Linked DNA regions of Oryctolagus cuniculus. The protein of the gene in region 1 purifies or fractionates together with the protein of each later gene. This does not show direct contact. Links are inferred from orthologs where the notes say so. Each region holds a gene or a part of one and is shown in the gene's direction. Other genes may lie near its edges.

Region 1 (3,652 bases):
CTAAGACATTGTCAGGAAGTACTTAGCACAGTACCTGAAACAAATACTCAAGCAGTAACTTGCTATCTTAAGAAGAAATTTCAAAATCCTTTATACAGCTGAGAAATTTCATGAGATGGTCCTGGCTTAGCTCTCCAGCCTCACCATTAAGTAACCACCTGCCCAAGCAGCATGCTCAGCTGCTTTTAATTCCAGCAGTAAATACCATCCCAGTGCTGCTCTCTTCTGTGTTAGGCCATTTTTTCTATGGAGGAAGCCTTCTGGCTTCCTACTGGATTGTGAAGCTCTTTCCCTCTGCTCTTGCAACCCTACCCAGTTTTATCACAGGAATTACATGCTGCATGAAAATGTTGGTTTTGTGTCTTACTCCCTTCTGGTCTGTTAATTCCTTGAGGATCAGAGGATTTGTCTTCTATGTGTCTTTTTTTTTTTTTAAAGGGTTTATTTATTTGAAAGAGGGAGAGTGAGTGCGAGTGAGCAAGCCTACATCTGCTGGTTCACTCCCTAGATGGCCACAAAGGCCAGGTGCTAGGAGATTTACCTGGGTCTCCTATGTGGGTGGCAGGGGCCCAGGTACTTGGGTCATCTTGTGCTGCCTTCCCAAGGTCATTATCAGGGAGCTGGATTGGAAGTGGCGCAGCTGGGACAAGACCCAGTGCCCACAGGCATCACAAGTGCTTGCTTTACTGGCTATGCCACAACACCAGGCTCTTCTGTGTTTCTTACCCCAAGGTCACTGTACACTAAGTAGGCACAAAAGGAAAAGTGAAGGGAAATGATTGAGGGTTACAGTGTTACCATCTTCATCAAAGAGGCGGTAGGTAATCAGTATGGAGTTGGGGCTGGGGTTGAAATGGGGCCATCTTGGGCTCCTGGAGTGACCTGAGAGGCTGCAGAGGTAGTAAGGGAGGGCGGTATGAGTGCCTGAGGTTGCCTGGCTTTATTTCCTCTCCAGGGAAGTTCCAGATGCAGGTCCTGCCCCAGTGTGGCCATGCAGTCCATGAGGATGCCCCTGACAAGGTGAGTTTGGTGCTTCACGACAGGACAACTGTGAGAGCGACTTTGGATGGCCCAGGAGATAGGACAAGCCTCTGAGTATTAGCCTGGGATGCCTGCAGCTGCAGGGAAATCCAGGCACCTGCAGCCACCAGCTTCCCAAACATGGCTCTAGCAGCTGCCTGTGGGCTTGACTTTGTGGGTGGGGCTGAGGACCTGTTGTGTCCTTTGCATTTCCTCTCAGGGCCCTATGATTGAGATCTTAAGCTGTGTTGCTCCCAAAAGCCAGGTGGAAGAAGGGATGGTTGAGGGTAGAAACTGTTCCCTAACCTAGTCACAAATAGGAATGAACATGAACTACTCCTGTGGGAAAAAGGAGCTTCATAACTCAAAGGGGATAAATAAGTCCCATTCCTCTTGAGCTTGCTGGCATTCCCTGAAGGATGATGGGAGTTTGCTAGCCCTGCCAGGACCCAGGTCCTTTTGGTTTCAAGCTACCCAGACTTGTGGGACTCAGGAGGGCATTACATAGCTTAATTTTCCAACAGAAGCTCTCAAGACTCCAAGGGTAAGCACCATCACAAACCTTCATATGGCCCGGAATCTCTCCCTTTTCAGGTAGCTGAAGCTGTTGCCACTTTCTTGATCCGGCACAGGTTCGCAGAGCCCATCGGAGGGTTCCAGTGGTAAGTACAAGGGTGTAAGATCTCCATGAGCGCTGCCCAACCCAACAAACAGATATTTGCCTCACAAAGCCCTGCCTATGTGGGTCACCTTCCTCTTCCTCCACAGAGAGGCTGGCATGTGTATTTCGGCAAAGCTGTGCTTAGTTACTTCTCTGTGCTCTGGTCCTGTGGGTTGTTGCTAAGGTGCGATTTCATCATGCCTGGTCTCCCAGCCCCTCACCGCGATGTGCATTTCTTCTTGAGGTACCCCCTTTTCGAGGAGGCTGAGATGGGAATCAGCCTCTGTGCCTTCTGCCCTGCTGCTGAGCAAGGCTGGCTGGACCCAGAGATCCCACAGGACCCTAGAGCAGCTTTCTCAGCCTCAGCATGGCCGCCGTTTTGAGATGGGTTGTTGTTTTGCTATCGGGGCCTCTTCTGCACATGGTAGGATGTTCAGCAGTGTCCCTGTTCTCTACCCATTCGATAGCAGCAGCACCTTCCACACATGGTTCTGCAAACCACAGCTGTCTCCAGGCAGGCAAAGCTGCTCCCAGTTAAGAACCACTGGTCTGCAGAAGCAGGGAGTGCAGGCCTCTCCCCCTAGGAAGCTCTTCAGCTGCTTAGGGAGACACAGTTGGGCTCTGTGTTAACCCAGCAGGTTCTTGCCCCCCCTCAAGCCTACTTGTCTGTGCTGAGGAAGGCCCTGGGTCCTCAAAGTCCACGGTCTGATGAGTCACATCTGCCATTTGAAATCCTTCTGATTTTCAGAGTTCAGGGGAACCTGTTCCCTCCTTCAGAAAGTTTGAACAAGAACTCTGAATGCCGTGAGTTGGAGGCGAGAGTGACAACAGGATAAGAGCTTGGAGCTGTGAGCCATAGGAATGACACCCTCATGTTGAACCATTCCTCTAGCAGCTAACCATTGATGGGGCCCACAGTCAGCAAAGACGACTTAGTTTCTCTTTTTAAAATTTTTACTTATTTGAAATTCAACCTAGTAAAAATAGATACAGAGATCTCCCATTTGCTGATTCATTCCCCAAATGCCTACAATAGCTGAAGCTGGGCCAGGCTGAAGTCAAGAGCTGGGAACTCCAACTGGGTCTCCCACATGGGTGACAGGGACTGCAAGTACTCCACCTAGCACCTCTTGTCTCCCAATGCATGCATTAACAGGAAGCTGGAATTAGGAGAGAGCTGGGACTTGAACCCAGGTACTGTGATACGGGATGCACATATCTCAAATAACATCCTTTTTGGGGAGGATTGATTTATTTGAAAGGCAGAGTTAGATGGATAGAGAGATCTTTCATTCTCTGGTTCCACTCCCCCAATGGCTGCAATGGCCAGGACTGGGCCGGACCAAAGTCAAGGAGCCTGGTATTCCATCTGGGTCTCCCATGTTGGTGGAAGGAGTCTCAAGTATTTGGGCCATCCTCCATTGCAGTCCCAGGTGTGTTAGCAGGGAGCTGCATCAGAAGTGGAGCAGCTGGGACTCAAACCAGTGTTCTTATGGGATATGGGCATTGCAGGCAGTGGCTTAACCTACTGTACCACAAAGCCTTCCCCTCAAATAGCACCTTAAACACTACAACCCTCTCCTAATACCCTCCCCTAATTTCTTTTAAACAGTGTTAGAGGTCTCTGGGCTATTTGGAACATGCACTCAGAGTAGAAATTTGGTCCCAGATGGGCCTGTGAGGAGGTGGGACAGATCTTCAGGGGCCTTGGTGGTCATTAGGGAGGGTTGGCCAAAGGAGCCTGGGGAAGCAGGGGAAAGCTGGTGATTGGTTACATTTTCATCCCTCTCTTGCTCTTCACAGTGTGTTTCCTGGCTGTTAGTGACCTGCTCACCACCCCTCCCTCAGCATCGAGCTCTGTTGTAAATACATCGCACCAGAGGCCACTGTGATGCCGCTGTCTCCTCACCATCCTGCCCGGCCACGTGACACCGGCTCCCTGTAGACGGGCATTCCCAGTTGTACAAACCG
Region 2 (3,653 bases), on another chromosome or scaffold:
CAGGTTTACCTTTGCTTTTGTACCATCAGTTCTGTTGTCAACAGCATGAAAAAGCTTTTAGTTTTGGACCACAGCTTGAAAACTGCTGCCCTGTGGGGTTGCCCTCTGAAGGTGCTGGATGTGATGGAAGGGTGATTGCAAATTAACATTCCTCTAATTTTGTATAATTTTGTTAAAGTAGTCATTCTGTTTATGCCACTACTGATGGTAGTACTGCCTGCCTCCAGAGTTGGTTGACATTCTGACTCTTGGATCTCCTGGGATTTAGACTATTTGGGAAGGTATCACAAAATTTCTTCCTATGTTAGTGGTGAAATGTAAGGCAAGATGGCTAGAAAGATGTTTATTTAATCAGTGAATAGATATGAAAAGTGTATAAACTATATACACGTTTTTAATATAAAGATATGCATAGATCCAGATTCCTTCCCTTTAAAACCAACTTTTTAAAAAAAAATTTATTTGAAAGTCAGAATTGTAGAGAGAGACAGATCTTCCATCCACTGGTTCAGTCCCCTAAAGTTCACAATGGCCAGTGGTGGGCCGGGCTGAAACCAAGACCAAGAACTACTTTTGGGTCTCCTACATGGGTGGCAGGGACCCAAGCACTCTGGCCATCTTCCACTGCCTTCTCAGGCACATAAGCAAGGAGCTGGGTTAGAAGTGGAACAGCTGGGACACAAACCCCCAGTGGGATGTCGACATCGTAGGTGGCAGCCCAGCCTGGTATGCCACAACACTGGCCCAGAAACTGTTTTTACTGTGCAGTGTTGGTTGGATAAACCCATGTCTTAACTGATAACCTGAAAATATTAGTTGAAAGAAGTGAGGAAACAGATTAAAGTTGATTTTGCTGTTTGACAGTTAAAAGACAAGAAATGTTACTTGTACCATGTAAGCATTATAGCTTGGTTATTGAGGCTTAAGTGCAAAAATTTATTTCTGGCATGGTTAAGTGGAGCAGTAACACCGCTCTAGTTAGCTTTGTTATAAGGGGCAGAGTTGAAATGAAATAGGTGATGCTGTGGTGTTAAGGCGCCATCTGCAGCACCAGTATCCATGTGGGTGCCAGTTCAAATACCGGCTGCTCCACTTACCCAGCTCTCTGCTAATGTGCCTGAGAAATCAGTGAAGATGGCCCAACTGTTGGGGCCCCCGCACCCACATGGGAGAACTGGATGAAGTTCCTGGCTCCTGGCTTCAGCCTGGCCCAGCCCTGGCCCTTGCGGCCGTTTAGGGAGTGAACCCGTACATGGAGGATATCTCTCTCTTTCTCCCACTGTTGTAATTCTTTCAAATAAATAAATCTTTAAAAAATACTCAATCAATTCCAGCATCCTGGCTTGCAGACTGACAGTGCATTGTAAAGATTTTAATAGAGATTTGGATTTTGTTTGGATCAGAGGAGTTGGGGGTTTGGGTAGAATCCCATTGGAGCTTGGTGAGTCGTACTGATCGTGCATGATGGGTGCTACTGAACAGACATTCTCTCTGCTACTTATTCTGGTCTTAATTTTGTTAGCATTAGTGACATTGTATAGTATATTTGTACTTTGTATTCAAGAATTGTAAAGCTTCATGGTATTATATTTTTCCAATTTTTTGCTTGTAGGATTCAGTGGTCCCAATTTAAAGGCTATTTTATTTTCAAACTGGAGAAAGTGATGGATGATTTCAGAACTTCAGCTCCTGAACCAAGAGGTCCTCCCAACCCTAATGTCGAGTATATTCCCTTTGATGAAATGAAGGAAAGAATACTGAAAATTGTCACTGGATTTAATGGGTATGCACTTAACACTCTTTCAAATATTTAAGTTTTATGAGACATCATAGATTTATCTTAAGTTTTGCCATGTCTGGTTGTTTGAAATTCATTATCAGAGTAAGTTCTGTGTCTCTAGTGACATACAGCACTTATGATTTTTAGCTTGTATGTGTTTAAAGTATTCACAGCCTTAAAAAAAAACTTAAACCATTTTATGAACTCCAGTGGCTTTCAGACTTTAAGTGGGTACAAAAGTAGAAGTGTTCATTGTCAGGAAATATTTTTATGGTTTTTTTTCCTGTATCATTTTATATTTGCTATTATAAATCAGACTTTGTATAGATTCTGTATCATTGAGAGAAGTTATATTTATTTTAAAATGGAAAATGATTTATGAAAGTATTATTTAGTAAGTTTTTATTTAGAAATTTTGGGAGGGATTTGTCTTCAACCCCCACCAACAAGTAACCATTTTTAGCTCTTTGTAAAACACTTGAAAACAACAAAAAGATACTGTGCCCTAAAATAAGAACATAGTCGTGTCTCATTCTCTCATTTAAATTATATATTTTTAGGACTTTATACTTTTAGAGTTTCCTAAGGGAAGATTTGTTTGTGAAGTATATTGTTTAGTTTGCCATTTAACGATTTGGGGTGTAGAATTGCAGTCTCGTATATTGTGAATTTGGGAATATTATCCATGAGTTAATATTTAGACAGATTTTATTTGAAGGGGTTTAAAAACAGGATTTAGATAATGTGGTTAACCCTTTGTTATTATAGTTTCTACTTGTCTGAGTTTAGGAATTTTGCTTAAAATACATCCTTAGGCTTTGGCTTCTGGTTCTATTACCAGAATACATTTTTTGGGGAGAAATTGTAGCTTTTTCCTTGAAGTCAGTCCATTATAGTGACCTGGAGGTCTAGAATGGGAAGGAGATTTGTTTTTCCTGTGTAGGGTATTGTGCTGTTGAAATTATTTAACCATATGCATATCTTTCCTTACTAATATTAGTTAAGACATTTTTTTTAAAAAGTACATTCCCAGAAGCATCCACATTCTATGTATTAGAAGCATGTTTTATAATGTTCATGAAGAAACTGAGTATGGTCCAGCTGAGACTAGATCTCTTGGGAATATTTCCAAATAGTGTACACATACATAAATCAGACTTTGACATTATGATGACTAACCTTTTATTTCAGTAAATTATAGGTGATAGGTGCCATTTAAAAATAAGAGGGTGAAACTAGGCAAAATATAACCTTTGCTTTGTAAATAATAAGCTAATTGTGAGTCTGAATTAGTAATAAGGAATATATTTTTTACATCTTTCAAATTAATTTGGAATAGATGCAGATAATGTAAGTTATTAAGTAAGTCTGAATATATATAATTTCTTAATCTGTAAATCAGGTAATTTATCTACTTTAGAGAATGATGTAAGCAGTCATTAAATGCCTAATTGCTTTTAAAAAGTTTTATCATTACACCATAAATATTTTGAACTTAAATATTTTAAATTAGATTTTTCAGGATGGCTGTTTCTGAATCAAGTTTCCTTAATCAGGCAGAATCTAAATCTTAATCAGTGAAAGATTAGTATCTTCCAGTTTAAATTTACTTTTTTGGTCTATATTATCAAATATTGGTGTGTTGAGCATGTTTGCAGTCTTTTTCAATTTTGTTTTTGTGTTTTGATTATGCATAAATTAGTTTTTAATATAAGAGGTATAGCATTTTGTTTGTTATCCAGTTTAGGGGTATTCTTTCTAGTACATCCCTCCCCCATTTGTAATAGGTTATCTTTTAAATACAAAACTGATAATTCTCATATTTTTAGAAAGGTCCCTAAATGTCATAGAAAATAAGTAGAATCATATTGTG
Region 3 (3,653 bases), on another chromosome or scaffold:
TTGCTTATTTTGCACATTTCATGTAAATGGGATTGTACATTATGTGATCATTTGTGACCTGCTTAGCATAATGTTTTCAAAATTGTAGCATGGGTCAGTACTTCATTTCTTTATTGTTGAGGAATATTCCATGTTTGAATATACTACATTTTATTTACTCATTAGTTGGTAGGCATTTGGGTGGATTCTGCTTTTTTGGCCATTACAAGTAATGTTCTCATTGAACAAAAGTTCTTAGGTATATACTTTTTCCTAGGTATATACTTAGGAATGGAATTTTTGGGTGATACAATAACTCTTTAACTTTTAAGAGACAGAGAGTGCTCCCATCAGCTGGATCACTCCCCAGATGTCTGCAACAACTAGGACTGGGGTAGACCAGGCCCAAGAGAAGAACCAGGAACTCAATCCAGGTCTTCCACATGGCTGGCAGGAACCCAAGAGCCAGAGCTAGGAATTCAACCCAAGCACTCCAACACAGAAAATGACCATCTTAACCACTAAGCTTGCCCCTATGTTTAACTTTTAAAAAAAATTCTTAGAAGGGGGCAGGTGAAAGCTGGGCTGGAAGTTGAGTAGCCAGGAGTCATACCAGGCATTCTGCAACAGCAGCTTAACCTGTGCCACAGCACCTCGGGGTTTACTTCTGGAGGAACTACCAGATTGTTAGTTCCAGTGGCTTGCACCATTTTACGTTCCCATCAGTAGCATATGAGGGATCTGATTTCTCTGCATCCTTGGAACACTTACTTTATTAAAGCTATCAGTATCTTATTGTGGTTCTCTTTTTATACTTTCATAAGAAAAACTTCACAAGTGTTTTAGTAGATAAGAAATAACACTTTTAAGTTTGTGATAGAATATTTTTTAAATTGTTTATTTCATTTTTTAACAGGCTAAGGAAATTTTAACAAAAGAATCCAATGTGCAAGAGGTTCGTTGTCCTGTTACCGTCTGTGGAGATGTGCATGGTCAATTCCATGACCTTATGGAACTCTTTAGAATTGGTGGGAAATCACCAGATACAAACTATCTATTCATGGGAGACTATGTGGACAGAGGTTATTACTCAGTGGAGACTGTGACTCTTCTTGTAGCATTAAAGGTATGATCAGTATAATTCAGTTTTCTTTTTTTCAAGCTGTTTTTAAACCAGGCAAAAGGCAAAAATGACAGTATTAAATGTCATCTCTACTATCTTAGGGTTAATTCAGTTTATAGCTCCTTAAAATAATAATTAGTTTTATGACTTTTATAGAGAGAGGTGAAAATAATACACTAAACTTGTCCAGTCTACTGCCATTCTTTTGGGTATTCCATAGCTGAAATCTTTGAATCATATTTGACTTAAGCACATATTCTTCATATTGAATCACTAAACAGGTCTTTATTTCTTGCCTTGAAAGTTCTGTTATTCCTAAGTTTTTATTTCATGACACAATCTAATACTTCACACTTCAATTACTGCATTAACTTGGTAACTAATATTTCTACCTGCAAGATCTCATCTTTGCAAGTCCACCTTGTATATGCTGCCAAATCAAGTCACTCTTGTATCTTACTACTTCCGTGCTCCCAAACCTACAGATACTCGTGTTGCCTAACTCAAACTCCTTGCCTGGCCCTCCATACTCTGAATTTGCCATAGTGGTCTATTTCTGAAATCTTAACCTCATACATCTCCTTCCTGAGATCAGGCCCGTAAACAGCAGACCTGGCACTGAGCTTCATAGTGCTGAGCTCAGTGTTGCATACATAGTGGATGCTTACTAAGCACGAATGTATATGAGATACATTTTTTTTTTGTCCTGTCATGGAAATGAGCCTTAAAAATCCACTTGAACCAGATTTGGCAATACTTAAGTTGAAAAAGAACAAGAACTTAGCCTCTAGAAGACTTTATCTCAGGTTCAAACTACAGCTAAACAGTAACCATTCAGCAGTGAAGAATTAATAGTATTCTGAAAAGATGTCCAAGACTAGTGATAGATAATAAAGATGATGACTGAAACAGATGCTAAGATACAAACTAAGATTCTAATGATACTCATAATGAAGGACAGTAAAATTATTTCAAAGGTTAATAAGACCTAGTTAGGAATGACAAATATTTTTACTGTGAAAAAAAATTACGTTAAATTTACTGGTGGACACAAGAACCATTTGAAGAAATGGGTTGGAAGTTAATGTGTTCAGATAACATGATATTAAAAATATTCTGTGGATTTCTTTTCCTTTGCTTCAGGTGCGTTATCCAGAACGCATTACAATATTGAGAGGAAATCATGAAAGCCGACAAATTACCCAAGTATATGGCTTTTATGATGAATGTCTACGGAAGTATGGAAATGCCAATGTGTGGAAATATTTTACAGACCTATTTGATTATCTTCCACTTACAGCTTTGGTAGATGGACAGGTATGTATCTGTGTGCTTACATCTTGCAATGGAGGGCTTACAATAGGGGGGAAATTAGACTATTAACAGGGGCTAGACTTACATGACATCTGTGTCTAGATTTCTTTGGCCTTCCTGCCTCTCTTATACTTACAATTTTATGAGCAGGCATTGTGGTGTAGCAGGTTAAGCTACCATTTGGGATGACTGCATCCTGTATTGGAAAGCCTGGTTCAAGTCCTGGCTACTCCACTTTCCTGATCCAGTTTCTTGCTAGTGCACCTAGAAGGCAGCAAATGATGGCCTCAATACTTGGGTTCCTGCTACCCGTGTGGTAACCTTGGGTGGATGGCCTTGGGGGACTGAACCTGCTGATAGGAAGATATCTCTCCTTTAAAATAAATAAACCTTAAGAAAAAAAATTTTTTTCCAGAGCAGATAATTGGATAAGTTTTTTTTTTTTTTTTTTTAAGATTTATTTTATTTATTTGAAAGAGTTACACAGAGAAGGAGAGGCAGAGAGAGAGAGTCTCCCATCCACTGGTTCACTTCCCAGATGGCCGCAACGGAGAGCTGCGCCAGTTAGATGCCAGGAGCTTCTGCCAGGTCTCCCACGTGGGTGCTGGGCCCAAGGACTTGGGCCATCCTCTGCTGCATTCCCAGGCCATAGCAGAGAGCTGGATTGGAAGAGGAGCAGCCGGGACTAGAACTGGCACCTATATGGGATGCCGGCACTTCAGGCCAGGGCTTTAACCCACTGTGCCATGGTGCCAGTTCCAGTTGGATAAGTTTTATGCATATTTAAAACATTTTCCTGTGATTCTCAGATCTTATATAAATGTGTTGGCCAAAGAACATGCTAATATACTTTAAAAATTATAAGTAAATTTTGAAGACCCCAACGTACAATACTGCTCAAGCAAGATGTTTTTTTGAAACAAGGTCCACACAGATTCAGTATCTACTAGTTACCATTAAAGTTTTTTATTCCTATTTTTATGGTAATTGTATTATGTGTCTTATACCTTCTTCCCTAAATGAATGCTTTGTTTCTACCTGTGACAAGTATTGGCACATACTCTAAAACATTCAAATGTGTAAGAAGAAATATACAAATATTCTATTATTGCTGTAAGCATGAACTTACTTTAGTTTAAATGTAAAACATGGTGATAAAACTCAATTATAAATGCGCGGTGTTGTCAAGTGTATGGTACTCTTGTACTGCTGATGTGAATGTAATTTGGTTATGACC

The links.
Region 2: the proteins of PPME1 (region 1) and PPP4R2 purify together in Homo sapiens (affinity purification with mass spectrometry; 3 studies listed by BioGRID and IntAct, counting the BioPlex papers as one, with this or other methods). This does not show direct contact. The link is inferred for Oryctolagus cuniculus from reciprocal best matches to the Homo sapiens genes PPME1 and PPP4R2.
Region 3: the proteins of PPME1 (region 1) and PPP2CB purify together in Homo sapiens (affinity purification with mass spectrometry; 6 studies listed by BioGRID and IntAct, counting the BioPlex papers as one, with this or other methods). This does not show direct contact. The link is inferred for Oryctolagus cuniculus from reciprocal best matches to the Homo sapiens genes PPME1 and PPP2CB.

What each region holds. Positions count from the first base shown.
Region 1 is NC_091432.1:65,501,778-65,505,429, forward strand, and holds part of PPME1 (protein phosphatase methylesterase 1), read left to right. Parts: exon of another isoform or gene 1-955; coding exon 956-1,020; intron 1,021-1,614; coding exon 1,615-1,682; intron 1,683-3,484; coding exon 3,485-3,503; 3' UTR 3,504-3,652. UniProt on the Homo sapiens protein: Demethylates proteins that have been reversibly carboxymethylated. Demethylates PPP2CB (in vitro) and PPP2CA. Binding to PPP2CA displaces the manganese ion and inactivates the enzyme.
Region 2 is NC_091441.1:76,202,946-76,206,598, reverse strand, and holds part of PPP4R2 (serine/threonine-protein phosphatase 4 regulatory subunit 2), read left to right. Parts: intron 1-1,612; coding exon 1,613-1,783; intron 1,784-3,653. UniProt on the Homo sapiens protein: Regulatory subunit of serine/threonine-protein phosphatase 4 (PP4). May regulate the activity of PPP4C at centrosomal microtubule organizing centers.
Region 3 is NC_091433.1:80,834,297-80,837,949, reverse strand, and holds part of PPP2CB (serine/threonine-protein phosphatase 2A catalytic subunit beta isoform), read left to right. Parts: intron 1-895; coding exon 896-1,105; intron 1,106-2,245; coding exon 2,246-2,419; intron 2,420-3,653.